Linked DNA regions of Rhinolophus ferrumequinum. The protein of the gene in region 3 interacts with the protein of the main gene of each other region in a pairwise test. Links are inferred from orthologs where the notes say so. Each region holds a gene or a part of one and is shown on either strand. Other genes may lie near its edges.

Evidence for each region.
Region 1: the proteins of EXOSC8 (region 3) and TXNDC17 interact in binary tests that used the Homo sapiens proteins (3 or more experiments, as listed by UniProt). The two-hybrid records come from large-scale screens. The link is inferred for Rhinolophus ferrumequinum from reciprocal best matches to the Homo sapiens genes EXOSC8 and TXNDC17.
Region 2: the proteins of EXOSC8 (region 3) and OTUD4 interact in binary tests that used the Homo sapiens proteins (3 or more experiments, as listed by UniProt). The two-hybrid records come from large-scale screens. The link is inferred for Rhinolophus ferrumequinum from reciprocal best matches to the Homo sapiens genes EXOSC8 and OTUD4.
Region 4: the proteins of EXOSC8 (region 3) and MORN4 interact in binary tests that used the Homo sapiens proteins (3 or more experiments, as listed by UniProt). The two-hybrid records come from large-scale screens. The link is inferred for Rhinolophus ferrumequinum from reciprocal best matches to the Homo sapiens genes EXOSC8 and MORN4.

The regions. Positions count from the first base shown.
Region 1 is NC_046304.1:13,915,705-13,923,584, reverse strand, and holds TXNDC17 (thioredoxin domain-containing protein 17), read right to left. Parts: upstream 3,010-7,880; 5' UTR 2,918-3,009; coding exon 2,773-2,917; intron 2,216-2,772; coding exon 2,134-2,215; intron 1,714-2,133; coding exon 1,638-1,713; intron 1,006-1,637; coding exon 937-1,005; 3' UTR 246-936; downstream 1-245. UniProt on the Homo sapiens protein: Disulfide reductase. May participate in various redox reactions through the reversible oxidation of its active center dithiol to a disulfide and catalyze dithiol-disulfide exchange reactions. Modulates TNF-alpha signaling and NF-kappa-B activation.
Region 2 is NC_046301.1:18,616,572-18,624,196, forward strand, and holds the start of OTUD4 (OTU domain-containing protein 4), read right to left. Parts: upstream 3,008-7,625; 5' UTR 2,417-3,007; coding exon 2,258-2,416; intron 1-2,257.
Region 3 is NC_046287.1:92,681,144-92,688,995, forward strand, and holds the start of EXOSC8 (exosome complex component RRP43), read right to left. Parts: upstream 3,017-7,852; 5' UTR 2,999-3,016; coding exon 2,982-2,998; intron 1,900-2,981; coding exon 1,863-1,899; intron 1,636-1,862; coding exon 1,572-1,635; intron 1,015-1,571; coding exon 941-1,014; intron 1-940. Other genes in the region: ALG5 (dolichyl-phosphate beta-glucosyltransferase), read left to right, coding at 4,090-4,215, 7,850-7,852. UniProt on the Homo sapiens protein: Non-catalytic component of the RNA exosome complex which has 3'->5' exoribonuclease activity and participates in a multitude of cellular RNA processing and degradation events.
Region 4 is NC_046299.1:26,202,699-26,209,525, forward strand, and holds the start of MORN4 (MORN repeat-containing protein 4), read left to right. Parts: upstream 1-3,812; 5' UTR 3,813-3,950; intron 3,951-4,017; exon of another isoform or gene 4,018-4,157; intron 4,158-5,372; 5' UTR 5,373-5,423; intron 5,424-6,827. UniProt on the Homo sapiens protein: Plays a role in promoting axonal degeneration following neuronal injury by toxic insult or trauma.

The DNA.
Region 1 (7,880 bases), on a different chromosome or scaffold from region 3:
CAAGGGACGGGTCACCAAATGGAGTCAATGACCTCTAAATGAGAGCACAAGACCTGCATCAAGTTTCTTAAATTCTGCAGGAGAGGAGAACATACCTATATCACTATTTGCATTGCAAGAGAGCTTTATGGAAGAATCATTGGTATGTCGCTGACCTACTGATGGCAGGACGATTGGTGGTTAACTACTAATTGGACTCTTGACCTTAGACGAGAACAACGATGAGGAGCCTCAAATACTTGTGCTTATTTGGGAAAGCTCACATTTTGTTTGGCAGGTTCCACAAGCCAGGCACTGCGTTAAGTGTTTAGTTGCATTCTCATTTTATTCTCAGAATAATCCTTGTTCTTATAGGAGGAAACTGAGGTTTAGAAAAGTGAAGTAACTTGCCTGTGGCTACACAGCTAGTAAATGGTAATCAGTGACTGACTCACGGGCTAGAGTCGTTCCCACCACTAGGTTATATAGTCTCTGGCCTCTGCCACCCACCTCATCCCAAATAGGGAAGCACATTCAGAGTTGTAAAACAAAACTGCCTGCATGAAGCAGAGGCTGGATTAGATGTGATGTGCTTTCCTTCAGTGGTTAGGTTAAATTCTAAATTCTAAAGCCGAAGATGTTTTAGAAATAACGGTTCTTTGTAAATTCATGGAATTTGAGGTAAAAGTTCCTAACTCCTTTAGAGATTGGGAAGCTGTCTAATTTCTATTACCTCCAGTGATACATTCCTTTGCGCTAATACTGCCACTCCTGAAGATTTATTTTACCTAGCTTAGAAGGTTCATGAGCATTTTAATATAGCACTCTATTGTTTAGACATACTAATTGTTTTACATCGTAATTATTTATTTATTGCTAACATGAATTCAAAGCAAATATGCAGTTTCTTTTAGACTAGAGCAAATCAGGAAATCAAGACAATTGCCATTTCAAATCTTAATCTTCAGAGAACAACATCTCCACAAGGTTGGCCTGAAGACACTCAGATTCTACCAGTTTTTGAGGCTGTAAGAGAAGAACAGTCAAACTGTAACCCACAACTACAAAAATGTTATTAGGAGAGGATAGAGTTGTTCTGCTTTGAATGACACAAACCTTGGAACAGAGAAATTACGCCATTCATGAATTATCAACCAGTTGCAACAAGTTTTAGGAAATAGTTAAGATTTTTGCTTTAAGATAAATCACTTGGCTCTAAATATAGAGACTAAAACAGGAAACAGCAAGCCTAATGCCAACACCCTTCCCCTCATCTCTTTAATTTAGAATCCCAGTGCCATGACTAAACTAGAAGAGGTGCCCTTTCTTTTCAACCAGAATTATGGATTAAATGGAAAACCACCACTGATGCCAGTGTTTTAAGAAATTATCTGTAAACCAACTTTCTTGAACAGTGCTTATACAATTTTAAATTAAGAATAGCTTTTAAAAAGCATGAAAAAGATGTAATATTTAGATATTTGCATTATTAATAGTTTATTGGGATTGGCCACGGGATGAACAGATGCACTCTGAACAGGAATGTGATGTGATGTTTGCGATGGAATATCAAGACCTTTTCAAATTTGAATCCAGAACAAGTTAAAAGTTTTGACAGGGTGAATTGTAGCCCCAACACATTAAAGAAAGATACTCACCGTTCCATATTTAAGTAGTGTAGGCACTGCAGTTACTTTTAAATTTTTTCTGAAGTCATTATTTGGATCTTTCCAGCTATTTTGAAAAGAAAAAGTGATCATGAAAAACATTTACTTGGTTTCTTACGTTTTGTTTAATATTTTACATATTCCTAAATTTAGTCTTTTAGCTATTGTTTTTGTTGTAAACATTTAAAAAAAACCCGAGGACTGACTTATCTATTCCCCCAAATAAAAACTTTCATTTAAAGTGTGATCAAAATATAAAATAAATGTAAAGACAATTAAGTTCTGAACTAACACCAGCCAAATTCATTGAATTAGCCTTCCCTAATGCAAATGGCTGAATATTGGAAATTTTTATTTGTATTTAATGTCTTATCATTGCTGGACTTATCTGACTACCTTAGAAGGTAGAACCTGAGTCCCAAGGTCCTTCCCGTCTAAGTTTGCAAGTCTAGTTCACGTCTGAGATACAGTACACACTGCTACTTACTAAGGTTTTTCTCCTACTTGGCAGTAGATGAACACACACCCTTCACGAACATGCTTCAGCCCCTCTCGGACGACTGGTTCAGCTTCCAAAAAGTAGATATAAAATAATCACACATCAACTGTACAATCAGGCACAGACACACAGGGCTCCTCTACCCTCCCCTCAGTGTTGCCAAGAACTCAGACTTTAACCTACAGTTAACAGAGGAGATTAACAGAAGTCAGGTATTCTCTGATTTGAGAGCCACTTTAAGGGGAAAGGACTCAGTCCCAGTCCTGATTTGTCGCGACGCCACAGCGCCCATAACAATGGAAGGCATAGATATTTGCTGACATCCAAAGGAGACCAAGTCACGTCTACTGTAAGACATTAATCATACTGGGGACGTGAAAAGTTTTAAAGGACTGGATTCTAAGATTATATGGGTCGAATGGTAGGAAGAGCACTTGGGGCGGGGAAGGACTTCACAGCAGGAGAGACGGGAACAAGGCAGGAGAAGGAGGCAGGATGACAGCTCTGATCGCCCTGCAGATCTCCGGGGGCAAGACTCCCTCTACCTCTTCCCAACCCCGCTCTCCGCCATCGCCTCGGCCTTCCCGTCATTTCCTCTGGGCGGCAGCCCCCGAATCCCGGCCTCACCCTGCACGCAGTCGGGGCACCAGCTTTTCCCTTCGGCGTCCTTAGAACCGGTAAAGTAGGCGAAAATGGTCTTGCCTTTGTGCAGCTCCACAGCCCGGCTGAAGTCCTCGAAACCGGACACACTCACCTCCTGGTAGCGGGCCATCGGGAGAGCGAGCGGCAGACAGCCCGCGGAGCCTTCGGGTCGCACCGCCGCGAGGCGGGGCCCCACGTGGGGCGGGGCGAAGCTGTTTCCGGGTGGCCTAAGAGGGCGGTGCCTAAAGGATCCCAGAAAGCTAGGAGGTGCTACGGGAGCCTCTGAAGGCCATGCCTCGTCCGTACCGTCTTTCTGCTCTCACTTCTCCGATCTTACGGTGCTGGCTCCATTGCGAAACCCAGGCTTCTGCCCCAATCTGTTCTGGGCCCCAGCCCCGTTTACAGTGGCTGCAAAACCTCCCGCCATGCAGCCGCTGGACCCTTAGGTGGTTTAGGATCCTTAACGGCTCCCAAGCCGCCCTGCGCCGGTTGCTATGGCGACTAGGCGAGCGGCCGGAAGCGAGGCCTAATTGGGACCCCCCCCCCGCCCACTTCCCCGTAGCCGCGCCCTGCCTTAGGCCAGGTGGGCTCGGGCCGGAGCTGGGGGGATTCTGGGAAGCTGCGTTAGGAATCATGGACCTGGGGGAGAGGAGACCCTGACCCGGGGCAGATCCTGCCGCTCGTCGCCCCCAATTACCTATTCTGCCTAGGCTTTGGGGGATCCGGGACTGGGGGACGGGCGTGCGGGGCTGGGCGGGGGTGGGCTGCGAGGGAATAAGGCTACGAGGTTGGAGCTGAGTGTGTGAGTGCGTGTGTGGAGCAGCCTTGGGAACAAGGTGTTAAGACAAAGTGCCCTGGGGCTGCGTTGGGGAAGACGGGAATTGTCCTCGAGCTATGAGCAGGGCGGCTGGCCGTGGGGCCTGGCCGAGGCTGCGCAGGGGCGAGCGGGTGGCAGAGATGCCGGGCCGCGGGGTGGGGCCCAGCAGGTCGGGCCGCGGAGTCCGACGGCCTGGGGGGAAGAGGTGGGGTGTAGGGACGTCCCGAGGCCGTGGATCTAGTCGCCGGGTGAGGTCCTCGGTGTGGGAGACGCGCTGTGTGAGTGCAGAAAGGCTGCAGGACGGTCGGCAGAGAAGACGAGCTGCCGAGACAGTTGAGGCCGAAGGGGCGAACGAGGCTTCGGAGACACCTGGCCCTGCAGGCTCAATTGAGGCTGCAAGGGACCCTGGGGCTGTGTTGGTGAACGGGGACGTGGGGGAGCCCCAGGTGGTGGGGCCTGCCGGGTCTGTGTGGGCGACTGGCATTGGGGAGGAGGAGGAGGAGGCATTTTGTAGGAGTCCTCGGGGCTGTGAGAGAAAAGGTCGTCCAGGATCTATGGGGCACGAGAGTATTCTGGAGCTGTGGTTGAAGGTGCAGGCCATGAGGGCAGCGTCAGGATGTGGGGAAGGAAGCAGAGTCGAGCTCCATCCTGTGCCTGCAGGAGAGGGGCCAGTTGAAAGGGGTATACCTGGCCGGGCTTCATGGATAGAGACCAGCCGTGGTGGCCTCACAGGACCGTGGGTGAAAGGACAGGCTAGGACAGTCCCCCAGGCCTCAGGAATATCTGCAGCTACTGATGTAGGGCCGAATTGTGAGAGGCCCTCCAGCTCGTGTGGGCAGGGACAGGCTGGGAGGGTGCCTCCTGTGGGGGTGCTTGGGACTGTAGAGACAAGGTCTGGGATTGCGCCACACCTGCTGGGGAGAGGACTAGCGGAGGGGGTGCCTGGAGCTGTGGAGGAGATAGGTTATGGCGCTGCCCCAGGCCCATGGCCAAAAGCACCAACTATGGGAGTTCCTGGGGCCATGGTGTGGCCTGAGGCTGTAGAGGTACCCAGAGCTGTGGAGGGAGGGAGAGGCTATGGGGGTGCACCAGGTCTGTGGGAGAGGGGTCTGTCAGTGCAGGTGCCTGGGGCTCTGGCACAAGAGGCAGTGTGTGGGGATACCCTAGGCGTATGGGGCAGGGCACAGGCTATGGGGGTGTCCAGAGTTGTGGAGGAGGAAACTCCAGGCTTGTGGCGGAGGAGACAAGCTCTGGAGGATGTAGGCCCTAGGGGTATCCCTGGCCTGTGGGGCACTGGGCAGCCTGTAGGGGTGCCTTGTTCTGAAGAAGAAACTAGACGTGGCGGTGACCCAGGATTCAGTGAAAGGGGACAGGCTGTGTGGGTAGAGACAGGCTCTGGAGGTGACCGAGGGTCATGGGAAGCTGCACAGACTGCAGAGGTATCTAGTCCTGATGAGCAGAAGGCAGGTCCTGAGGTTGCTCCAGGCCTGTGGGGTGTAGGACAGGCTATGGGAGTACCTAGGGCTTTGGGGAAGGAGACAGGCTGTGCGAATGTCCCGGGTGTGTGGGGCGCAGAACAGCCTGTAGGGCTATCCCAGGCTGGGGTGGTACTAGGAGCCATGGGCGAACATGGGCGGTATGGTGGCATCCCAGGCTTGTGGGACAGGCAGCAGGCTATGGGGGTACCTTTGGCTGATGCAGTGCCAGGGGTTGTTGGGGAGGAGACATGCTGTGGGAATGTCCTGAGTCTGTGGGAAAGGAGGCAGGCTATGGGGGAGCAAGAGGCTGTGGTGCCCACAGCTTTAGGGGTCTGTGGGTCTGTGGATCAAGAGACTGGCTATGAGGATATTTCCTGTTTGTGCAGGAGGAGACAAGCTATGGGCTTGCCGGAGACAGTGGGGGTGTCCGAGGCATCTGGCATGCCCAAGCACAGATGTGCTCCAGCCACCGGGCTACCTGCAGCTATGGATGTGCCTGGGTCTGGGAGGGTGCCTGCTGCTGTGTGGGTGTCTGGCCCCATGTGTCCGGAAAGCAGCTCTAGTGATGTCTTGAACCTGTGGGAAAGAGTTCAGACTGCCAGAATACCAGTGGCTTCGGGGGTACCTGTGTCCACCGAAGAGCTGTGGCCTGTGAGAGAGGATGGTGATTCTGCGGCTTTTCCAGGATCATGGGGAAGGAGACAGGGTATTGAGGTTCCCATGACTGACAGGGTTTCCGTGGCTCCTGAGGTACCCGGGCTTGTTGGGGAGGAGACTGGCTCTGGGGGTGTCACACGATCGTGGAGAAGGAGACAGAGTGCCAGGGTTCCTGTGGCTGCTGAGGTGTCCACGACTTCGAGGGTACCTGGTCCTCTGGGAGTGGAGACTGGCTCTGGGGTTTTCTCACACTTGCCAGGAAGGAGACAGGCTCCCGGAGTACCTGTGACTGCAGGGGTGCCTGTGGCTCCCAGGCCTGTGTGGGAGGAGACTGGTTCTGGAGGTGTCTCAGGCTTATGGGGAGAGACAGAGACAGTGCAAGTATTTGCAGATGCCAACGGTCCCACAAGAAGGGTGATGCCCGCCACTGCCAGGATGCCTGGGCCCAAAAGGGAAAAGATGGGTCCTGGGGGCATCTCGGGCTTGTCGGGAGGGAAACAGACGGCGGGGGTACCCATGGCTGTGGGGCTGTGCACAGCCACGGGGGTGCCTGGGCCTGAGGGGGACGAGACACTCTCTGGGAGTCTCTTGGGCTTATCGGACAGAGGACAAACTGCTGAGATGCCTGTGGCTGCTAGAATTGCCATGGCTGTGGGAGCACCTACAGCTGCTGGGGTTCCTGTGCCGATGGTGGGTGATCCTAACTCTGGGGATGTCCCAGGTGTATGGGGAAGGAGACCGGCAGCTGAGGGGCCTCCTGCCTCCAGGGCTCCAGGACCCGTGGACAGGGAGACTGGCTCTGAAGGTGTGTCAGGCATGTGGAGAAGGAGACCCGATGGAGTAGTCCCTGAGGCTGTGAGGGTACCTCTGTCTTTGGGGGTGCTTGCAGCGGTGGGAGTTCCCATGGCGGGGCGTGTGCCTGCTGCCGTGTGGGTGACTGGGTCTACTGGAGAAGAGGCGAATGCTGCTGTCTCGGGCCTCACAGTGGTGAGGAGACCGTCCACAGAGGGCCCAGGGGCTTCAGAGCAGGAGACAGGAGGGAGAAGTGTCCTGGGGCTAGCAAGGAGGAACCTGGCCCCAGGGCTGTCTTACACCTGTGGGCGTGGGGACAGGTTATGGAGCTGCCCAAGGTCTGTGGGGGAAGAAACAGACTATCAGAATGTGCCGGGATTCTCAGGGACAGGAACGGCTGCGGGGGCGAATGGAGCCGTGGAAGTGCCTCCCGTTTCAAGGGAGGAAACAGGCCTTGAGCATTTCAGGGGTCACCTGCAGCAGAGCAGCAGGAGACAGACGGGAGGGGTGTCTGGCATCCGAGTGAGGGGGAACAACTTGGGAGAAAATTGTGTGGAGGGGGACAGAATGAGGGGGGCATTCCAGTAGTATGTATAGGGAACAAATTGGAGGGATCCTGGGACTCTGGGAGGGAACAGTTTGGGGGGAGATTTGTCCTGAGTTGTGGATGAAGGTACAAGCTGTAGAGGTGTCTCAGGATGGGAGCGAGAGATCCTTTGTGGAGAGGTCCCACAGTACGCGGTGTAACAAGTTGGGTGGATTCCTGGAGCAATTGGAAAGGGACAGGTTGCAAAGAGAGACGTGTCCCAGGACTTTGTACAGGGGAACAGTTTGGGGGTGGGTGTCCCTGGACTGCGTGTGTGTGTGTGTGTGTGTGTATGTGTGTGTGTGCAGTGTCACTTAAGGTATCCTGGAGCTGTGGGGATCACCTAGTTTTTTTCCCGTGGAGAACGGATTATTGGGCCTTTGGCATCCTGGGGGAAGTGTTGACCACGTAAACGTTGCAGACGCCCCCCCAGGCTCCTTCCTTCTGTGGCCCCAGCCCCTGAGCCGTGCTGATAACCAAGCCAGTCGGTGGCCTCGCTCATGTGCCTCCTCCCATCTTCGTTTTTGATCATGTCTCCACAGCCTTAGAAATAAGGAATCTTCTACAACTGCCTTTATATTCCTTCAGATGTATCTGTCTTTAAGCAAATCCAACCTACAAACGTTGGGCTTATTCAACAGCTTAAATTAAAACCTGAATTTCCCAATTGATTTACTATGGGATTCTTTCAGAGAACAAGTTCCCCAGGACATTTAACACTAGTTAGTTTATGGGGAAAAAAATCAGCTTAATTCCACAAATA
Region 2 (7,625 bases), on a different chromosome or scaffold from region 3:
AAAGGCTCAGATACACTGCTTTAGCAAGTCCTCAAAGAGTGCCCTATTTTTAGCTCCACAGCCACAAAGCTGATTCAGGTCAGGCCTCCTGCAGGCCCAAGTCCAGTAGTGTAAAAAGGGAAGGTCCTATCTAAATCAGGTAATTTGGAGAGGTACCACTACTCCTAATTCAAGTCTCTGCCCCACTCCCCCCAGACACCATTCAGATTATTTACTGTGACTCCTTCTTAGTAATGTTCAATTATTTTGATATTTTTGGAGAAAATATTGGCAAAAAATTAAACCCTCTGTACATATTTTTAAAGTGCAGCCTGAGGTCATTGTTGCTACTTCACCCACCCACCACACACACACAACCCCCAATTTGTTATAGGCCATGAAGTCTACAGGGTTAGTTCATGTCTACTGAAATTTCCCCAAAAGTCATGTTATTAAAGTTTTCTAAGCTCAGTATACTAAAAATCAGTCACATAAGTGGAGGAGATAGTCCCTTATGCCTAACTCATTTTATTGCATCTTATTGTAATGAGATTTATCTGATGTTACCAATGAGTTTTCAGTATAACTAGTTCTTGCCCCTTTCTACCTAAAAATAGAGATCCCACACTACAATAAGCTCACCAATTATCTAAGGCATGGAATACTGGAAATCAGACACTCTTTTCTGCTTCAAGATAAACTAGGATCTGGATAATCCAATTCCAAATAAGTGCCATACGTCCCTTATTTCTCTTTGTTTCTACCTCCTCCCTTACCAAACTCTCGCTAGTGCTAATACATATAAATAGAGGCTGAATTCACTTCCACCTCTTCCCTCTGCTTCTGGAGGTGCTGAGGAGTTCAGGGAGGCTGAGGAAGAGGAAGTAGGACGATGGAGATCCCCAAACTCACAAATGGGACATGGAGATCCCCAAACTCACAAATGGGACAGACTTGTTTACCTACTAATAGTAATGACTTGGGTGGGTGGCAAGACCGAAACATCCGGAATTTCTAAAAATTAGAGAAATCTAATGAACTGAGAAAGACAAAGCTTGATTTGGGGATCTCTAGGAAAAATGTCTGAGTGACAATGCCTGCAATATAATGCAAAGGTTTGTACCAGTTAAATCAATTTGTTTTTTAAAAAAAACAATTTCATGATACTGATGTGAAAATGAGGACCTTTAGTAAATAAATGGCTGGCCTTTCGACGTTGAAAAAAATGAAAATAGACTGGTCTACAGATGTTAAGTAAAACACTTACTCACAAATAGAAATTTTGAAAGCTATTTAGCATTCAAAAAAGGTGAGAAAACAGAAACATAAAAACTCCATGGAGGGGAGGGGAGGAATCTTAAACCTAAGAAAGGAAAGCAAACTGAAAGGTATGAAATACACACCAAGGAGGTAACCTGAAACTTTTATTCAACTATTTCAACAGCTATTTTTCAATATAGGATGGGTTTTGGTAACTGCATAACTACCAACTACAGTGTTATCTAACAGAATAAGTTCTTACAAGAAAAATCAGAAATACCTTCCTAGGCAATTGTGTTACAAAGTTATTTTGACCATTAACAGAGAAAAAACTCGGCCAAGAAGGCCCTAAGGCATCCCCAATTATACCTTTCCTACTACCAACACCAAAACAGATTTTTAAAAAAGTAAACGATTTTCAGCGTATCTTTATTGCCTTGCAGAACATAATAAAGTGTGGGATCTACTCAAAAACTATTATTTTAAAACATTCTATATTTTTAAAAGGTTGGTTTTCCCAAATTGCACATTTTCCCCCTTTTGATTCAGTGGACATCTGCGGGCTTGACTACCCCACATTCCAAAGTCCAGGAGCAGAAACACTAATGTTCTACGAGTAAAGTCTGGTGCACCACCTCCTCTAGTAAACATTTGGTTAACTGGTGTGAACGCTCTGCTTACAAAACGAAGACACGGTGAATGCGGAACAGAATGGAAAAATACCATTTCGCCAAGTCCCCAGCAATCAATCAAATGTGCACGCTCTCAGCGGGCCTCATAGATTGTCCTCAACTCATTACCTCTTAACCCGGAGGGACGACACCCAGTTAATTTACGGGTTTTTAAGTTTCGATTTACAGCTTCCAGACAGGCTAGCGTCCCATTCCGGCGTTACAATGGGCGGCTGTGACGACAGCGGGGCCACGCGCAGCCCCGGACGTGGGCGGCCCGGACAGCTGCCGGCAGCCGCTTTCCCACCCGGCCCCAACGCCCCCACCCCACCCCCGAGCCCCCTTACCTGCTCTGCCACTGCCCGGAACAGGCACGACCCGTCCTTGGCGACCAGTTTCCGATACAAGCCCAGTTTCCGCAGATAAGCGTCCATGGGCGTCGCGTCCTCGCGGAGCTCTGAGACGCCCTGGTCCCCGCCGTCGAGGGAGCCGACGGCTGCCTCCATGTTGCCGGTCTTGCTGCAGGCCAGGCGCGGCGCGGGCTAACCCCACATGGCCGCGGCGCCGGCTCCTCAACGCCTCGGCCTAGAACGAGCGGCGGCTCTGGCTCGGGCTCCGCGGGCGGCAGGCGGTGACGGCAGCCTGAGGCAGCGGTCCGCGCTCTCCGCGCGCATGGGGGAGCACTGCCTAATGCATGGCTGTGCGCACGCGGCCTCCTCCCGAGGGACCGCGCGCCCAAGGGAACCGATTGGAAATTAAAGAAAACCCGAGAGTGAGAACTCACTTCCCGGCGGCCTTGCTGCCCCGCTCAGCACCTGAGCCGGGGGTCGTCTTCCCTACAAGTTTCCTCGTCCCGACTGGGGTGAGGCGAGAAAGCCCCCGCCCCCCACACGCGGGGCCGGCTCAGGTGAAACGACGCCTGCGTCCCCCGCGCTCCCTACACTGGAAGCCAAGAAAGCCAAAAGAGAAAGACGCGGCCTTTCGTCTCCCCACCTCGCAGAAGGGCGCCGGAGGGGCGGGGAGCGGGTGGGGGCGCTCAGCGGAGGACAGCACCCTCGCAGCCCAGAATTTGTTTTCGCTTTCGACCCGACAGCGGGGAGGATGCCGGGAAATGTAGTTTTGTCGGAAGCAGGAAGTCGGCTTGCGACGGGCGGGGACGCGCAGCCGGCCTGCCCGTGGAGGAGGCGCCCTGGAGGCACGCGAACTACAAGTCCCTACAGCACGGGCGCCCCCGGACCCCGCTACGCGCTTCCCGGGCACAGCGTCCGCGAGCTGGACGAGGGTCTCAGCGAGCTGACGCGCAGTAATCTCCGCGCGCCTCGCGGAAGGCCGGACCGCCCACTGCACGGCGATGCCGCAGAAAGAGCTAGCGCCGTGAGTGCGCGCCCTGAGAAGTGCGCGGAGTTGCCAGGGACACGGCGGCGGCTGGGTGGGCCCTTTGTGTATTCCCAAACAGAGGGCGCACCTGTCTGCTCCCTCCCCCACCCCCTCTTCTCGAAGCGTTTCCATGGAGGTGGCTTTAACGGCTTAAGCAGAAAATACAGTTAATTGGTGAAGGCTGGTGGAACTGGCACAGTGTAGGACGACACAGACTGTCCATAAATCACCCATGAACTGCTGATTCCTGTTAGAAATTCAAAGTATAGCTCACGCACTATGGCAAGATGCCTTTGCCACAGACACTTTTGTTCACCCTTCCACTGTAGCTGTGCACCCCAGCACAAAAAGATGTCACTGGTCGGCAAATTAGAATTTTTTTTCTTAAAAAAAAATCATCTTTTAATTGCTTGATAACTAACATACTGGACTTGCCATGGGTTCCAGTGCTTGAGGTTTCCAGCTCAACTTCCCACCCTCTGAAGTTGAATGTCAAGTTATGTTTAGAACCCAGCATTTCTCCAGCACGTTTTTGTGACATCAGAATTTTATTTTGTTAAAATACAACAGCAGCTGGTATCCTAATTATTTAAATACGTAGTTAATCATAAAATGTACTCCAGTCTCAAGGCCATGGTGGGGGTTAGGGGTGGGTCAGAAGAAGGGAAAAGGGGGGGGTTACTGTAGGTTTGACATGTAGTCAAACTCTGGAATGGGGACAAGGTAGGCCAGATGGTGAGTCTAATGCAAACTACTGAAGACTCTAGAAATTTGTTTTCAGTGCAAGCAATTAATGACTTGTGTATTCACTTTCCTTGGAGCATCTCAATTTGATGTCTTAATGTTTAAAGATTCTATCTCCAGTTGTGCTGTTTTTAGAGACTACAAAAGTTAGTGTCACCTAAATAAATTTTCTTGTCCCAATATTAAATTTTTTACATGTAGTAGAGAAATAAACACTATGGAATCACTTTTAGAAAAATCTAGTTTCAAGTGAAACCTTTTCTCTAAAAATATTTACACCACATATGCTTCTCATTCCACTCAAAAAGAATTACTGAGATTTGTCACTACTTACAACATGGATTGTCTTTTTTTCCTTTTTCTTTTTCTTTTTTTTAAGCATAGTTTGCCTTTCAATCCGCAGAAAAATTCAAAGAAAGTTAACACCTAAACTGTAGAGCTTAAATATTGAATTCCTAAAATGAATAGATTCTGTAGTATTCATTTTATAAGCAACAGACTTTCTGATATGCCAAAAGAAAACCATGCCTTTCCTAACATTTAATAACATTTAATAAACAGAATTCAATCAGAATTTCTGAAGCTAATCTCATATTCAGTATGTATTAATGGAAAGTATACTGTATGTATCGTGGTAAGATTGCATTGACTATCTTGAGGATATATAAGAAATATATTTCCAAGGATTTCACATTTGAAAATTTATCAACCTTTTTTTTTGTAATTGAAACGTTTGTGACTATATTGCTTTCATTTTTTAAAAACTCATTCAAGTCAAAAGTTTTGCTTTTATGCACAATAATTTCATTTGGAGTGACTCAGTGTGTTTCAAGCATACTTTCTATTTTATCCATATTTTAATCTTATTTAAATATGCTTTCATGTATTTTTAACAAAGTAATATCACCATCTTCTAAATTCCCAAAATTCTTTTAAAATACTTTGAAAAAAGAAAACCTGAGGTGGCGGTTTAGCTCAGTTGGTTAGAGTGCGGTGCTCTTAACAACAAGGTTGCCAGTTCGATCCCCACATGGGCCACTGTGAGCTGTGCCCTCCACAACTAGATTGAAACAACTACTTGACTTGGAGCTGATGGGTCCTGGAAAAACACACTTAAACAAAAGTTAAAAAACAAAGAAAAAAGGAAACCAAATACATCATTAATTCTACAATATGTTTATTTTCCATTACAAAAATTTAATTCACTGACAATAGTATAATCAAAATAAGACTGTCATTTAACTATTCAAGTATTGAACCTGACACTAAAGTCCACTTTCAAATTTTTTAAATGAATTTTTAAATACTAAGAAAACAGAGGCCTTTATCAGAATTCATCAAAATTCTATGTTATCTTGCAAAAATGTGGTTTGTTATCAGAAGGAATAACACATTTCTGGTCTTTTCTACACTCGATGTCTTGACAAAATTACTTATTGTCCTCACTCCTACAGAATGAGAACAGAACAGCTTCACTCTAAACTATCTGCTTCTAGTTCCAAAATTAGAAGTAAAGCACCTGTTGTATCTGACCCTGGGCCTGTTTAAGGAAATCCTTTAGGTATTTTGATACCTAGTCCAAGACAGACCCTTGGCCAAATCCCCAAATATAGCTCACTATTCAGGCAACGATAAAGGATCCTATGACGTTAAACTGGACCAAAACTTACAGAAACTCACTTTCAAAGGATCTTTACTTGTTAACATTAACTTATGAAACTTTTCAAGAAGCCACATCTAAAATGAAAATCTTCACTCCGAGGAAGTCATTTATGACGAGCAAAAGCAAAGAACTCTTTAAGCAGACGTTCTAATCAAATAAAACCTGAAAGATACAATGCTACTGAGAACCTAATGAAATTAATCAAGTTCATCTTACACAAATGTGTCACCTTTCTTTTCTTATACACAATCAATACCTCAAGTCTGCTTGACAAACTTTGGAGCTAAAAACAGTACTGGATGGGATTTTTTGTTTTAAAAAATGATAGACTTTTTTGGAGTTTTTTTCCAATAAAAGGTTGGGTATTCTGAAACAACCGAAATTCCCATCGGTAGACGGCTGGATTAAGAAACTATGGTACATTTATACAATGGAGTAACACTTGGCCATAAAGAAGAATGAAATCTTACTATTTACAACGATATGGATGGACCTAGAGAACATTATGCTCACTAAAATAATTCAGAGAAAGACAAATACCATATGATCTCACTTATATGTGAAATCTAAAGAATAAATGAACGAACTAATCAGAAACAGTCTCAGAGACATAGAGGAAAAACTGAGGGTTGCTAGATGGGGGGGATAAGGGGGAAGGTGAGGAAAGCACGATCTGTAACCACAAGATTGCCACAGGGATATGAAAGGCAGTTTGGGGAATATAATCAATAATGTTGAAAAGATTTTATAGGGTATCCGATGGACACTTGTCTTAGGGAGACCACTTCAGGGATGCTGTAGATGCCTGATCACTGCACTGTACACCTGAAGCTGAAGCTGAATAATAATGAATGTCTACTATAATTATATATATGTATATATATATATGTATATATAGTCACAAGAAGTGGAGTACAGCATAAGGAATAGAGACAGTGGAAATGTAATGGCTGTATGCGATGTCAGAGGGATAGTAGATTGGGGGAGAGGGATTATCACTTTGTGAGGGGTATAAATGATAAATGTCTAACTATTACAGTGTTTTGTACACATGAAGCTAATAAATAAATAAATAAATAATATTTTTTTAAAAATTAAAAAAAAAAGGTTTGGTATTCTGGTAGCCAGCCTCTAAGATGGCCCCCAGGGATCCCTGTCTCCTAGTACTCACACTCTTGTATAATTGCCCCTACTTGTACCAAGGTTGGTCTGGATGATCAATAGAGTACAGTAGAGCAAAAGTAATGGTACCTCACGTCTGTGATTAGATTATAAAAGACACTTTCGGCATTCTGGTTGTTCTCGTACGTTCCCTCCCTCATGGGTGACTCACTTTGGTGGATGATGGCTGTTATGGGTCCTAAAAGCAGACTTACAGAGAGGTTCTCTTGGTAGGGAACTGGAGTCTCCTGCCAGCAGCCATGTGACAGCTTTGAAGCAAATCTTCCAACCCAGTTAAGCTTTCAGATGACTGTAGCCCTCGCTGAAATCTTGACTGAAACCTCATGAGAAACCTGGAGCCAGAACCATCCAGCTAAACTCAGATCTTAATTCTGAGATTCTTGACCTCAGAAACTGTGTGAGATGATAAATGTTTGTTGTATTAAGCACTTAAATTTTGGAATAATTCGTTATATAGCAATTAATAAGTAATAGAGATAATACTCCATTGTTTCTCTTTACTAAGGAGACATAAAATGTATTGCAATAATTCATGAAAATAATCACTAATTTAATACCTTTAGTGGTTTTTATTAGTTCTCTGGTAAACTAGCCCATAAGTAGGATTTTTATTTTTTTTAACTTTCTATTTATTTTAAGTGTGTTTTTCCAGGACCCATCAGCTCCAAGTCAACTAGTTGTTTCAATCTAGTTGTGGAGGGCACAGCTCACATTGGCCCATGGGGGGATCGAACCAGCAACCATGGTGT
Region 3 (7,852 bases):
AGATAATGCCCATTAAGTCCCTAACAAAATGTGGCAGTAAGTAAGTGCTCAAATCTTGTTAGATATCCCAGCTTTACCAAGGAAGAATCTGAACTTCGGTGAAGTAACTCTCAGAGTGATAGTCAAGAAGCACAGGCTTTGGAGTCAATGTTCTATTTGTGAGACTTCATTCCTGAACCTCATGGAATGAGGTTCACAAGACTAAGTAAAATTATACCCGAGATGATCGTTCTGAGAATTAAACAGGATAATTCTGTAAAGCATCTAATATTCTGTAAAGCACCCAATCGACAGAATTAAAAGTGTATATTACAATCTAATAAGTATACGAAGCTAATTTGGCAACTCAAATCTCATTAAGACATATTAAACCTACCGCTTTAATTCCGCAAATCACTGTAGTATTTCCCAGCTTCACTAAAGCAGAACCATCTGCAGTACTAATAAGGTGCCTGGAACGTAGCAGGTAGTACCTGGTAGCTATTCTGTCAAGCTTTTCTTTTGAGTGATCTCAATTTTTTACACATTTGCACAGATTAAATGCCATCACTGGATAAAAGGATGTCACCAAAAAACTAATTTCTCAAATGATAATCAAATTTTTTAAAAAAACTAGTTTCAGATGTACAAAACAATGTAATAGGTATTTACAGCCCTCACAAAGTGATACCCCCCCACAACCAAATTCTTAAAAAATTAAAGGTGGTGAGGATTTGATACATTATTTGATTTCAGTACATTTGATGTTCTTAAATTACAACTGAATCATTAAACGGGTCGTATTCAATAAGAGATGAAAGCTCTTGGGAAATGAAAACAAATACTAAAAAACTGACATCTGACTTGCCTAATCGACAGAATTAAAAGTGTATATTACAATCTAATAAGTATACGAAGCTAATTTGGCAACTCAAATCTCATTAAGACATATTAAACCTACCGCTTTAATTCCGCAAATCACTGTAGTATTTCCCAGCTTCACTAAAGCAGAACCATCTGCAGTACTAATTGAACCTGAAAAGATAAGCAAGCAAAATGAAAAAGTCCACAGTGTTTTCATTTATCTTGTTACATATCTTAGTTTATGAAAATTTATTCCTAGCTCAACTCTTTAAAGTGGTATGATTACTGTTTTAAGAATTATATACCTGTCTTTGAATTTGAGTTAATCCTTTTCATTCAGTCACAGGACTGTTGTACAGGTAAAAATCTCTTGACACAAAAATCACTGGAATCTCTTAAACATGGTAGAATTTGGCTGAAATACTGTTTAAGTGGCTTAGAGGCTAAAACTTGGGAATGCCACACAGGTAAAACTGGAAAACTCCATGTTTGTAACAGAAAGTTTAATAAGTTTAAGACATAAAACCATGTCTTAGAGATCTGGAAGGAAGGGGCGGGGAGGGGGGAACGCTCTGTAGTTACTTTAAAATGGAGAACATATCAATTGAGAGGACTTAAAAAAAAACAAACTACAAATAAAAATACTAGTATTAAAAAAACAAGAAACATTCCAGTTTCAAAACTGAAGCAACTTCAACATTCTATTTTAGAATTCAAAATATACTCACCTATGTTGACAGTTGTGGTTCTGAATTCACCAAGTTCTCTTCCATCAGGACGGCAGTTCTCTTTCTAAATAAATATATATGAAAGATTACATCTACATGTATATTTTACATACAACCAGGGAAAACACATTAAACCTTGTTAATTGAAATTACTTGAAATTTTTTTTAGGTATAATTGACATATAACAGTTTCAGGTGTACAATGTAACAATTCAATATTTGTATGTCAAAAATGTCTTTAAAAATGTTATTATCAAAAGTTATAACATGTACATAATCACCTTTACTCACCAAAAATCTCCTGAAATACTCCAGAGGTTCCACAGTTCTGAAATGTTAGCAATATATCCGAGGTAAGTTAATGAATCTTAATATAAATCCAGAAACTGTAAAAGATCTTAAAAACGTAGTCATGCAGTATAAATCTCCACAATGTGTGACTGTTTCCTTCATAAATTCTGACACTTATGTTGCCACATAACTAATTATAAGAAGTAGATACCCTTGCTGTAGCAATCACTCAACTGTCCTTAACTCTGCCTTAAACAATTTCAGGACTGGAGTCCAAAGCCCTTGGACTTCTTTAAAAGGATTAATCCAGGTGTTAATGGCACTCTCCCCCGGAAGCAGGGATTCTCGGCACAAAAAAAAAAGTTACATCTTTATTTTTCACCATCCTATAACTGAAATTTAGCATATTCTTAAATTCTGACTGGGTAATATTAGCAATACCTGTGACTCTTAACAACCACAGACATTAAATGTTTTCGTTTTTACTTAATAGTTATTGAAGGTAGGTTCAGTTACTTTGAAATTCCACTAGTTACTAGACTCCCCACTAGATCTTGTTTAATTTTAAAACAAGTATGTGTACATCACCGTATCGTGAACTCGGGAATTTATAGAAATAGATAAGTGTTTCAATATACTTGGTTTTCTTCGGAATCCTACTTATCCCTTTAAAAATTTGGCTCCGAGAACGAAAATCTATAGGCTTCACCAGAGTGCCACACAAAAAAGCTTAGCTAAAAGCGTCCGTGCAAGGCACAATCCTTTTAGAAATAAATTATGGAGGGAGAATAGAATGGCACGTGGTTCTGATGCAACACTTTTTAAAATACAGCTGTCTCCTGGGGCTAAATGTCCACTACACAAGGCACACGCGCTCCGCAGCGGGTACTGAACTCAACGTATAGTCTTCTTTTCCATCTTCCCGTCTTAGTGCCGGGGAGAGGCCCCCTTTCCTTTCACTACAACCACCTCCAGGTCCTCCCGCCCGTCGCCTGCTTCCGCGAGAGAAAGTGGGAAGATGGTGGGGTGGCCTCCAGGTGAGAAAATCCCAGCTAAGGGTTAAAGGAAGCCGCCATCCGTCAGGATACAAACTCGCGCACAGCCGCCGCCAACACTCACTTGAAACCAGCCGCCATCTTCCCGCCCGCGCGCCTGCGCGGGGGTAGGACACTGCGCCTGCGCCTGCGCCTGCGCCTGCGCGGAGGTTGGGGGAAGGACACTGTTGTCTACGTGCCGCGCGCCGTCTGGGCCACCGCTTTCCGCACGGACTCCAGCGCTCTTCTACGGCTGCAGGAGACGCAGAAGGCCAGGGCATCGCTAGGGTGCGACCCGACCCTTCGCTTCAACAGTCACTAGCCAGACGCACCTGTAGGTTTCTTTGCATTCTACGCGTTTTGACGAGTCTGCTGTTATAGAAGTGATAGCTTCTCTGTTTACAAACAGTTCAAGAGTTTAAGAGAAAATCGACCTTATAGCAAATAATCCAGTATTGAGCGTGAAGCATTATCCCAATGTTCTTAATCCAGTGTTTCTGCGTCCTTTTCCTGCCCCCTCTTAGGTTATGCCTGGGTTTTCCTTCTCCCAGGTAAAGAGCTCCCTGCTTCAGCACTGGAGATTACATATATTTTCTTCGCGCTCATTCTCCGCACCAGGTTACACTTTTCAGGACCTTGGGCGGGCTCCACAGGAGCTGCTTTTATTGTAGGTTGCGTGGTGGGGTTGCCAGATAAAATAAAGGACATCCAATTAAATTTGAATGTCAGATAAGCAAAGAGTAATTTTTTACTATGAGTAAGCCCCAAATAGTGTATGTTAGTCGTTGTTACCAGGGGCTGGAGCAGGGAAAGTTTTAGAAATAGTGATGATGGTTGCAGAAAATTGTGAATGTAATTAATGGCACTGGATTGTGCATTTTAAATAGGAAAAATAGCAAAAAAAAATTTCAGTTTTAAAAAGTTAGGTAACATACCAAAAACTTTTAAATGTGTGGGTTGAATGGTATGTGATTTATATTTCAATAAGGCTGTTACAAAAAAAACTTAGTTGCTTATCTGAAATTCAAATTAAGTGGACGTTCTGTTTTCACGTAGTGCTAATTCTGGCAACTCTGGAGCAGAGCGCCTGGCTGGCAGACAAGACCCAATGTGTTCTCGCCGCGCGAGGGCGCTGTGGGCGGCGGGCGCAGCCTCTCCGCCTGCAGGAGGCGGGGCTGCGGGACGGCTTCCGCATGTGTGTAGGTGCTGGGGAGGGCGGCGGTGCAGCCGGCGCACGGAGGATGGCTTCGCTCCCGCTGCAGCTCGTGGTGCTCGGCGCGGTGCTCGGCGTGGCGCTGGCGGCCGCAGCCCTGATACTGGTGAGAAGGGGTTGGGGACCGACGCGGGTCTGGGCTCACTGCTGTTCTGGAGACAAGGCCCCAGGCGTGCTCTCCTCCTCACTGCCGGTTCTTCGACGTGTCCCTTTTCACCATGCTTCCCCTGTCTTGACCCCAGAATTCCTGTCCTGCCATTTCACATCCCTTTCCTTCCGTTGTTAATTTTTATTTTGGAGCTTTATCTCCCTACGTACCCAGAGCATTGTACGTTTATTAATGTTGGGACGTGCTCACACAGCCTTCACGCGTCCCCTGGTCCCCGGACCCTCTGCCCATCCCGACCTCTCCAAGACTTCCTCCGGGTCTGCAGCCTCTGCAGTTATGGCCCCGCCGAGGAGGTCTTGAGCCCCCCAGAAGGTGAGTGCTCTCTAGACTCCCTTTTCCTGATGTCGTGAAGCAAATAAGAAGTGGTGATAGCCCAGACGGGAGCCATCTATGACAGATTGGAATAAATCAATGGATTACGGAGACCCACCACGGACACAGGAAGACCGAGATAGGCAAGGCCTGATGTTACCATACGTCTGAGGGTCGTTATGTCCCAGAATTAAACACCTTGAATTTGCTGCCTCTCAATGAGGCAGTAAAATAGATTTCAAACTCGATTTTTCTTTGCCATTATTCTGGAAACACAGAATCACTGTAAACACTTGTTGGTCCATAAGTAGTAGAAAACGGCCAAGTGAACTTTCTCCCATATAATTTGGAGTGAACCTGTGCTCTAGTAAGTAAATGGAGAGGTTTCAGCATCCTTGGCATCAGCAGCCAGGAAGGCCACTCTGCCATCTTGCCAGAAAGTTTGTCAACTCACAGCTTAGACACAGTTTAGATAGAGAAAAAGCACTGTATCCTGATTTCTTTGGTGATTTGTGTCTGGCTGAGAGAGAAGTCCTCTCTTTCCCTTGGTGGTATATGGAGATTTTAGTTGTTTTTCAGGTTTTTGAGCAAGTCAGGTTTTTGGCGCGGCAGAGTATGACAAAAATCCTCGATGGTATCAACCTTATGCTGAATCTGTTGTACAGATTTACAGGTGTACATTATGAGTTTGTACTGAAGTATTTGATCTCACTGGCTTAAAATGATTGTAAGGGCTACCATTTATTGAGTACTTAAAATATCTTGGGTATTCAGAGTTTAACAGGATTATCTAATTTGGTCTTTAAAATAATACTGGCAAATGTTATCATTAGCTTCATTTGTCTGGAAAGGAAACTGAGGTTGGAGGGATAAGCTCATGTATACAAATGTCACACAGCTCATGGAACTTGTTTTTTTTTAAATGCCAGAGTGAGAAATCATTACCAAAAACCCATTAATATTGTTATATACACACATATATATATATATATATATGTATATATATATATATCCACCCTCCAATAGTACTTCCTCCCCACCCCGCCTTTCTTTCTGGATTATTTTGAAGCAAATCCAAGACAGTATTTTATCTGTAAAGCCTCAACATTTATCTCTAAAGATAGGACCTCTTCTTTAAAGTATAATGTCAATAGGGTTATCACAGATGTTTTTTAAGTTAAACATTCTTCTATGCTTTTAAATACCGATCATTTCCAATGCCTCCTGCATGTCTTAGTATAGTCAGTTTGTTCCAGTCAGCATTCACACACTTAGCACTTCATTGATAAGTCTCAAGTTTTTTTTCTCTCTTTTTTTACTGGGGACTATTGGGGACCAGTGTGTCTTTCCAGGACCCATCAGCTCCAAGTCAAGGCATTTTCAATCTAGTTGTGGAGGGCGCAGCTCAGCTCCAGGTCAAGTCGTTGTTTTCAGTTTAGTTCTGGAGGGCGCAGCTCACTGGCCCATGTGGAAATGGAACCAGCAACCTTGGTGTTATGAGCACTGTGCTCTAACCACTGAGCAAACCAGCCGCCTGATTTGTCTCAAGTCTTAAATTATAACAGTTTCTTGTCCCTTTTTTTCCTTTAATAAGTTGTCATTTGTCCTGTAGAATTTCTGACAATCTGGGTTTTACTGATTGTACCCTCTTTGACCTTTAACATCTTAGTCTGTCTCCTGAATTTCCCGTAAAGTAGTAGTTACATCTAGAGACTTGATGAAATGCATGTTTGAGGTTTTTAATCAAAAAAAAATGTGAGTGATGCTGAATACTTCCTCTTCCATCACATCAGGAGGCATATAATGTATGATTTCTCTGGTGTTAAGATGGATCCGTGGGTTCAGGAGTTGTTAGCCTGACTCTCCAGTTATAAAATCTGTCATTAACCTAATGGGTTTAGCAGTCACTGACGATCACTACCTAAATCCTTATTTCACTGGGAGTTGCAAAGTGCAATATTCTAATCATATCATTCCTTCTTCATGTATTACTTAGAAATCTATAATGAAAAAGAATTTAATCTTCCATTATCCAATTAACCTGAAATACCTTTCATATATAAAAGGTAAGATAAAAGGCAGGATTTTAAAATAATGAGATAGTTCCCTGGCATCTTACAAAGGTGACCGATTAATTTTCTTTATTTTTGGTATCATTATGAATCCATGGCTTAAAATACTTTTCATGTGTTTCCATGCATTGCTGTAATTTGATGCTCAAATCTCCCGCCATAAGCCAGTAAGAGCCCCTCAGGTTGGCTACTTTGTCCATTTGGCATCGTTCTTCATCGTCATTGAGGTGCTGTTCCACCATTGTCCGTTTCCTGCCCCAGACCTGGATTAGCTGTTCCTTTGAGGAGCACTGGTTGCTTTTAGTGGGAGATGCAATTTAGAAACCACAATCTGGACACCAGGGGTGCAGAGCAGGACGTTTGACTCACCAATCTGGATGTTGCCTCCATGCTCACACCAGTCAGAAGCATATGCAATTTTAGTGTTTTCCCAATAGAACATTATAAATGATTGTCAAATTACAAAAGAGTATCATTCCAAAAATTTGTAGATTGATTGTTTTGAAAGCCGAAGGTATGCCAATAGAAACAATGTTCCAAAGAATAGTTATTTCCAAAGCTAGCTCCCAGGTGCATATGGAAGGGAGCTGTGTAATATTAGTAGTGCATGGTGCCTACAGTCTACTACAAGTTTGATACTTTACTCCAGAAAATACTGTATTCTGAGTTCAAATATAGGATAAGTACCAAGAATATATTCTTAAGCATTACTGCTCCTCACTGTGGGGGTTGGGGTTGATCTGGGCCTGGATGGGAGGTCTGACCTCATCCCACGCATTCATCTGCTATATGAACTTGTCCTCTGTTACATACAGGCTCTAAGTAGGGATGGGACCTCACTGTGTGTGTACCAGGGATTGGGGGTTCAGCGCATCTATGAGTGGATTGTACTGTAATTTGTTCCCTATTAGATCTGGGATGATCGAGGCCAGGGGAATGACAGGTGGGAAGAGACAAAGAGCCCTGTAAGGCATTAGTACCTTACTAATGGAAAAAAGGACAATCATTGTTCTTGAGACTGGTTTGAATTTTTGGGTCACCTCTAGACCATTGTTAATGCACTAAAAACTGAGAATAAATGTTTCATCAAAGGGGAAAAAAATCACGTAAATGATGTGGCATTCCAACATAACAAATGTAAAAAGGGTTACCCTAACGTAATTTCCTTTTAACATATCTGCTTTTAGATT
Region 4 (6,827 bases), on a different chromosome or scaffold from region 3:
CTAAATAAAAAGGTCTGTTGTTGTTTTTTTAAAATCCCAGCCCTCATGCAGCTTACACAGTGCCTGGCCCAAAGCTCAATGTTTGTTAATTGAGGAAATACATGGTCCTATCAGACAAAAATTCCATGAGGTAAGAGTCCATGACTATTTTATTTATCACTGTAAATCCTCCGTGTCTAGGCACAGTAGATGCTCAGTACATGGTTATCAGTGAAAAAGAGAAGGATGATATAGTCCCTGCCCTCAAGCTGAAGCCACACAGCTCTCTGACGCAGTAGGAGAAAAAGAGCCAACAATAAGTGCTGAAAACTCCATAATAGGAGTTCAGCAATTTGGAGGTAGGCTGGAGAGTCAGTAAAGGCCTTAAGTGGGGCATGTGCTATGATCTAACTGTTAAAGGAAGAATGTAATTAAATCACTGGGGGAAAAAGGGGAGAAAAGAGGGACTCACAGATATTTGAGTTTGAACCCTGGCTTCACATTTATTAGTTATGAGTTATTTAACTCTCTAAGCCGCAGCTTCCTCATCTATAAAATGGGAATAATCATCTCCTCTTCAATTGATTAAATAAGAAGCAAGATAAATATGTAAAGAACTTATAGCACTTCGTACCTAAAAAGCACTCAACAAATGATAGATTTTTATCACTGCTGAGGTTATTGTTGATGCTTTTGGTTTTGTGCTTAAAGTAATCAGCATGGATTTTCACAATTGGTGACCAGCCACATAGTAAACAATATTTCATAATCATTCTGGAGAACAGAGTGAAGAAATAAAATGGTGTCACTATAGTCAAGCCGCTAAATTACTAAAATCAAGTTGGTTGAGGCATGAGAACATTAGTCTATTCTTGTTTGAACTAGCCTGGGAACTTAAATTTTGAACTTTCTAGTCCTGTATCAATGCCTGGATATACATCAGTTCATGGACATACACCAAACCTCCAGATAACGCCTGAAAGACTCACATATCTAGACCACCTGACATCTATTATCCAGACCATGGATGTGACAAGACCTCTTGGCACCCATCTTCCAGATCACATGGCATCCATCATCCAGATCTCGTGATAGCTGACTGATAACCACCCTGGGCCAATCCTAGGGCTAAGAATACAGAACTGATTATTCTTAAGAATGCACTTTTTACTATAAGAACTCTTAACTTTCCTTTTTTTCTTCAGAATACTTCTGGGTTTTTGCCTAGTTGTGTTTTGGGTTTGTAAACCCTAAGACCCTTAAATAAATCATTATCATTTATTTCTAGCCAAAGCCTCCAGACTCTTTTTTAGTTTGTTCAACAATTCTTTCTTGAATCAAATTATTGGCAGAGCTAACTAGAAGTACTGAATTGTTTAGTTATATTATGGCAATGTCTTAAACATTTTCTTGCCAAATAAACCATTCTAGCAAATGGCCATACAGATGGTTCAATTACCCCCTTTCAGATACAAGACATGTAGTTCCCTTTCCTACCCAAACGCCAAATAATTAAGTAATATTTGCCTTTTGTGTCCTAGGGGCCACAGCCACAGAGATGATCTCCTGTATTAATTATCTTATTTAGCCCCTAAGCTGCAAATTATGGTCAAGGAAAGCTCCAAGATTTAGAGTTCTCCCTTGAATTCTGAGTTTTCTCTATGGAAAACCCTTATAATATGTTTCAGCATCTACTTCTCAGAACTTGACTTTCCTTTTACCGAAAAGAGTGTCAATACATTCCCTATTACCTATGAAGACTTAGCACTTACCAAATGATAAGCATGTGCCAGATATTATTTTAAGTGCATTACATGGAGTAAGTTATATAACTAGCATTACAGCCCCTGTGATGTTGGAAACTGAATAAAATAACTTGCTTATAGTCATGCAGCTGGGAAGTGGCAGAGCTGGATCCAAATTCAAGCAGACTAGTTCCACACTATATTGTTTCTTATTAAATACCTCTACAAAATATGTCTCATATTTATCCCCCTTCTTTCCATCTTCACTGATGCCACATTCCAGGATGTCTTAGTTATGTTATTACAATAGCTTCTGAATTTGTTTTCTGCTTCCAATTTCTTTATTATTATTATTATTAGTTGCAGGTGTACAAAACAATGTAATAGTTAAGACATTTATACCCCTCACAAAGTGATAACACCGCACCCCCTCCAATTTCTTTCTGATCATCTCTGTGTATCACTGCCAGAATAATTTTATTAAAACACTGGTTTCACTGTGTCACTGCTCTGGTCAAGAAACTACATTTTTATTGTGGCAAAATATACATAATATTTATCATTTTACCCATTCGTAAGTGTACAATTCAGTAACATTAAATCCATTCATAATGCTGTGTAACCATTACTACTGTCTCTACCCCAAACTTTCTCATCAAGACAATAAAAACTCTGTATTCATTAAACAATAACTCTATCTTCCTATAGCACTTGGTAACCTCTATTCTACTGGTTGGTGCAAAAGTAATTGTGGTTTAAAAGGTTAAAAATAATTGCAAAAACTGCAATTACTTTTGCACCAACCTAATACTTTCTGTGAATTTGCCTATTCAAGAAACTACATTTTGCAAACCATACCCTCTCTCTAATTTTTCAGGTTTCTCTATAACTTGACCACAACTTTATTTCTTCATATTTTCTAATACAGACTCTCCAATCTGATTTCTTAACATTCCATTCTCTCAACTGCTGTAATTATATCAATAGTCAATACCACACAATTTTATCATGTTTAACCATTGGGTGTTAGAGCTGGATTGAATTTTATAGGTCTTCTAGTCCAATCTTATTTTACAGGCTTGTGAGTTTAATAACTCGCTTGAAGCTACACCCAGTTGGTGGCAGGGATTTGAACACAGAATCCAAGTCTTTTAAAACTGTTTAGTGAGCCCTTGCAATTTCTCAGACATAGTACTGAGCATTTGACATTGTATTCTCAAACAAGTCCTAGGCTGCCTTTATCATCATCGTTATAATTTTCCATCGTACAAATGAAGAAAAATCTCACTTCAGAGAAACAATTTGCTTACTCTCTTCATGCGTTTGCCTTCTTTTAATAGTTAAATATAGTCTAGGATTTTTCCACGTGCATGCATCTTTTCTTCTCCACACTTGGGCAGTAAGTCACATGAGGACAGTGATCATGTCTTTTCTAGACTGGCAGAACCTAGCAGCACGCTGCATTCCCATTGTTCAGTAAATAAACATATAGATAAACGGATTGGCGTGCGCAGTATTTTGGAGGATTTGCTCCAATCTTGGCACGGTATTTTAAAGACAAAGGACCTGGGTAACGACATCGACAACACAAATCCCTACAAAGAATGCAAACGTGTCCTGATATCACAGTGCTGGCATAGAGTCGACACACATTGAACTACAGCTGCCCTGTCCAACGCGCTGCAATTTACAAAGCTGCACCTCAAAAGCCGTGTTTAGGTTCTGTCCTTTAACTCCGCGGCCGGGCCATTTACAACCATGGAGATCCGCGCAGGATCGAAGCCGCTTGAGTTGGTGGTCACTGTTGTGTCTGACGCTGGTTTGGTTTGGTTCGGTTTGGTTTTCACATTTTGGCTAGGCTGTTGCGGGGTAGGCGAGACCCGAGTTCTCTCATCAGGATTGCCAAGGAGGAACCCGGAGTTCAGCCCCACCCCTCTTTCGGATATTTGAGAGGGGTTCTCGAGACATTTCGCCCCGCACAAAGATGGCGCCGAATCCAGGCTGAGCCAATGGAGAATGGCGTTGCTCCCGGTTGCCTAGGTAACAGCCAATGGGCAGCGGGAATTGTGCCCAGTGCGGCTACCCGGGATGGCGGCGTCAAGTGGGGCAGGCACTGGTGGAGGTGGCGGAGAGGCAGGTGGCAGGGGCGAACCCCGCGGAGCGGAGGTCCGGGCTGCTGGAGCCCCGGGTCGGGGCGTGACCGTCATCCAGAAAGGCGGAGCCCAGGTTGGCTGGCAGTGCGGGTTGGAAGGGGCTGGGACAGTGTGATCGGTGAGGAAGGGACCGAGGAACCCAGCCCTAGATGACATGGGCTGGAGAGCGCGGCTCCGTGCTCGACGCGCTGACCGGAGGGCGGCTGCCCCGAAGTCCCCAAACCGGGCCTCGCGTCTCCACCGCTGGGTGCCGAAGCCCAGGAGCGCCCGTGGCACGGGGGTTAGCGAGCGGAGTGGTTGGGGGCTGTGTCTGGAGCAGATGGCAGACCTTGTGCGAGCAGAAGATCCGGCCCGGGAGGGAAAGCAGACCCGGGTAGAGGGCAAGAGCAATGCTGGAAGGCACGAATGGGTGGTTGAAGGAAAGGGGAAGTGGACCAGAAAGTGTTGCCTTGTTGCCATCTAGGGCTTTGTTTGCTCTGGGCCCGCCTCTCTCACACTCCCGTGGGGAGATGTCCCCACACATCAAGTCTTGGGGAATGGGATGCCTCAGTTAGTTGATGGTAGCATCCCAGCATGGTGGCATCACCGAAATGCTTAGGTATCAGCAGCAGTAACTCGGCTATATTACTGTAGTATTTTCCTTAACCATGGCATTTTCCTTAACCATGAACTAGAATGGTATCCTGGCAGTCCCCATTACTCCCGAGTGTTTGTTTGTTTGTTTGTTTTTTACTTTCTTTCTGGTGTCAGGATTTTCTTCTCAGTTTCTTCAATCTAACTGTCCCACAGTCTTCATAAATAAGAACTTTAGTAGTGATACATTTAGTTTACTTTTCTAATAGAAGGGAGACTTACAGTAAAAGAGACGTACAGACTTATAAAAACAGTTAATTCAAGCTCATGTAAAACACTTTAAAAAGAACGTTTGACTAGACTGAGAAACAACGACTTGAACGGGAGTGGGGCGGAGGGGGCGGAAGAAAGGGGGGGGAGAAAAAGAACGTTTGGCTTTTTCTTCTGGGTTTCTTCCAAACCTAATCTTTGTTCATCAAAACCTTCATTTTCTTGTCTTTAGGAGTCTGAAAGCCTAAAAACTGCTTTCTTTATAACTGAAGGAACTTTGGCAAGACTGTTATACTTTGGGAGGGGTGGTTTGGGAGGGGGTGGCCAGTGTTGAAGGTATATGTGGGTAAAGTGGCTGCCCCCAAACAATATTCTCAAACTGAAAATTTGTTCCCCTTTATGTGAATTTTTTTTTTTTTAATCCTGAACTGGGGCACAGGTTACTATGAAAGCATACGTATTCTTTTAACAAGTTTGATTTCTAAAATTTAAAAAAAGACGAACGGAATGGAAACAAAAGTTACCATTCCTGCCTCCAACTTCTATCTGGAAATGTCTGGGTCAGGAGAAAAGAAAACTAGCAGGGATATAGTCTGTTGTGCAGACTAATAGTGTATTAGTTTACACGGACAAAATACTAATTTCCTTTCAGATAGATGTTTGGATTGATCCTTTGCAACCCATCCGGCAAGAGAGCAGAAGGGTGGGTATTTGTTTAGAAGAAGCATGAACTATCTTGACTCTGTATAGCTGAAGCCTAAACTCATAGGCCCTCCATTTTATTTAAAAAGATTTTTTGAATAACTGATACACGTACTGATTTGCTAAAGTATTGGGTTTTCAATCTTCATCAGCACTAACTATACTTTTTAAGCTAGATTTGTCTCAATGACCATGGTGACTGGTGAAATTTCTTTCTGGGTCAGTGGCTATGCAGCTGACCATTAATTAGCATGGCTGATTACAGAAGTCATAAATGAAAAATCCTGACACTATTCCAGGCAGTGACAATATCCATTATTTGGACATAGGTAGAAGTTTCTAGTCAAGTGTGTTCAACCATGGCTTGAAACTCATGGAGTCAACATGTGTTCCCTTTAATTAGCACTTCTGATTATATTCTTGGGAATGGACATCACTTTGACAGGCAACTGTTGAAGGGAGTTTGCTCTACCTCCCTAGATCAAAAAGGAATGGAAATTTGTAGTACAGTATGGACTTTTGAAAACAAATAGGAGAGGATGGTGGCAGGGTTAGGTTGAGAGATGATATTCCAGTTCCTATTGCTGTATGACAAATTACCCCAAACTTAGCTGCTTAAAACAACCATATGTTGCTCACAGATACCTCAGATGTGATCAGGCTTAATGGCTTGCAGAGGGACTGGAGTCATCTGAAGTCTCCTTTACTCACACCTGATGCCTGGGCTAAGATGATTCAAAGATGAGACCTGCCAACCGGCTCACCAATACCTGTGGCTGTCGGTGTGGCTCAGCTTCCTCATAGCTTGGTAGCCTCAGGGTAGTCAGACTTCTTATGTGGTGGCTCAGGTCTCCCAGCACAAGTGTACCAGTGAGCAAGATGGAAGTTGCGTGACCTTTAATGATCTAATTTCAGAATACACCATCACTTCCATCATGTTCTATTGGTCAAAACAATCATAAGATCATAAGCCTACACAGATTCAAAGGAAAGGAGTTAGAGTCCACTTTTGGTGGGGCAATGGCAGGGTCTAATTGTAGAAGAATGTGTAAGACAGGAGGTATGTTTGCAAACATCTTTAGAAAATACAGTCTGTCACATTTGATTATAAGAACATAATCTTTCAGGTTTCATTGGCTTCCTTGAAATAGTTAGGGTTATTAAAGAACAAAAATTCAACCGAGTAAATTTAAATATCTCATTGGCTTTATGAATGATTCCTGAATTGGGCAGCATCCCATCTAGTAAAAATAGAAAGGTATTTCCGAGGAGTTGTACAAACTGAAAGGTTTTTATAGGCAGAAAGAGTGTGGGGCAAAAGAATGGATTATTTCAGGCAAGTTTACCTTCCCTTAGGGGAAGGTCAGGGGTCTGTCTTATCAAGCAGATTACATCACTAGTGCTG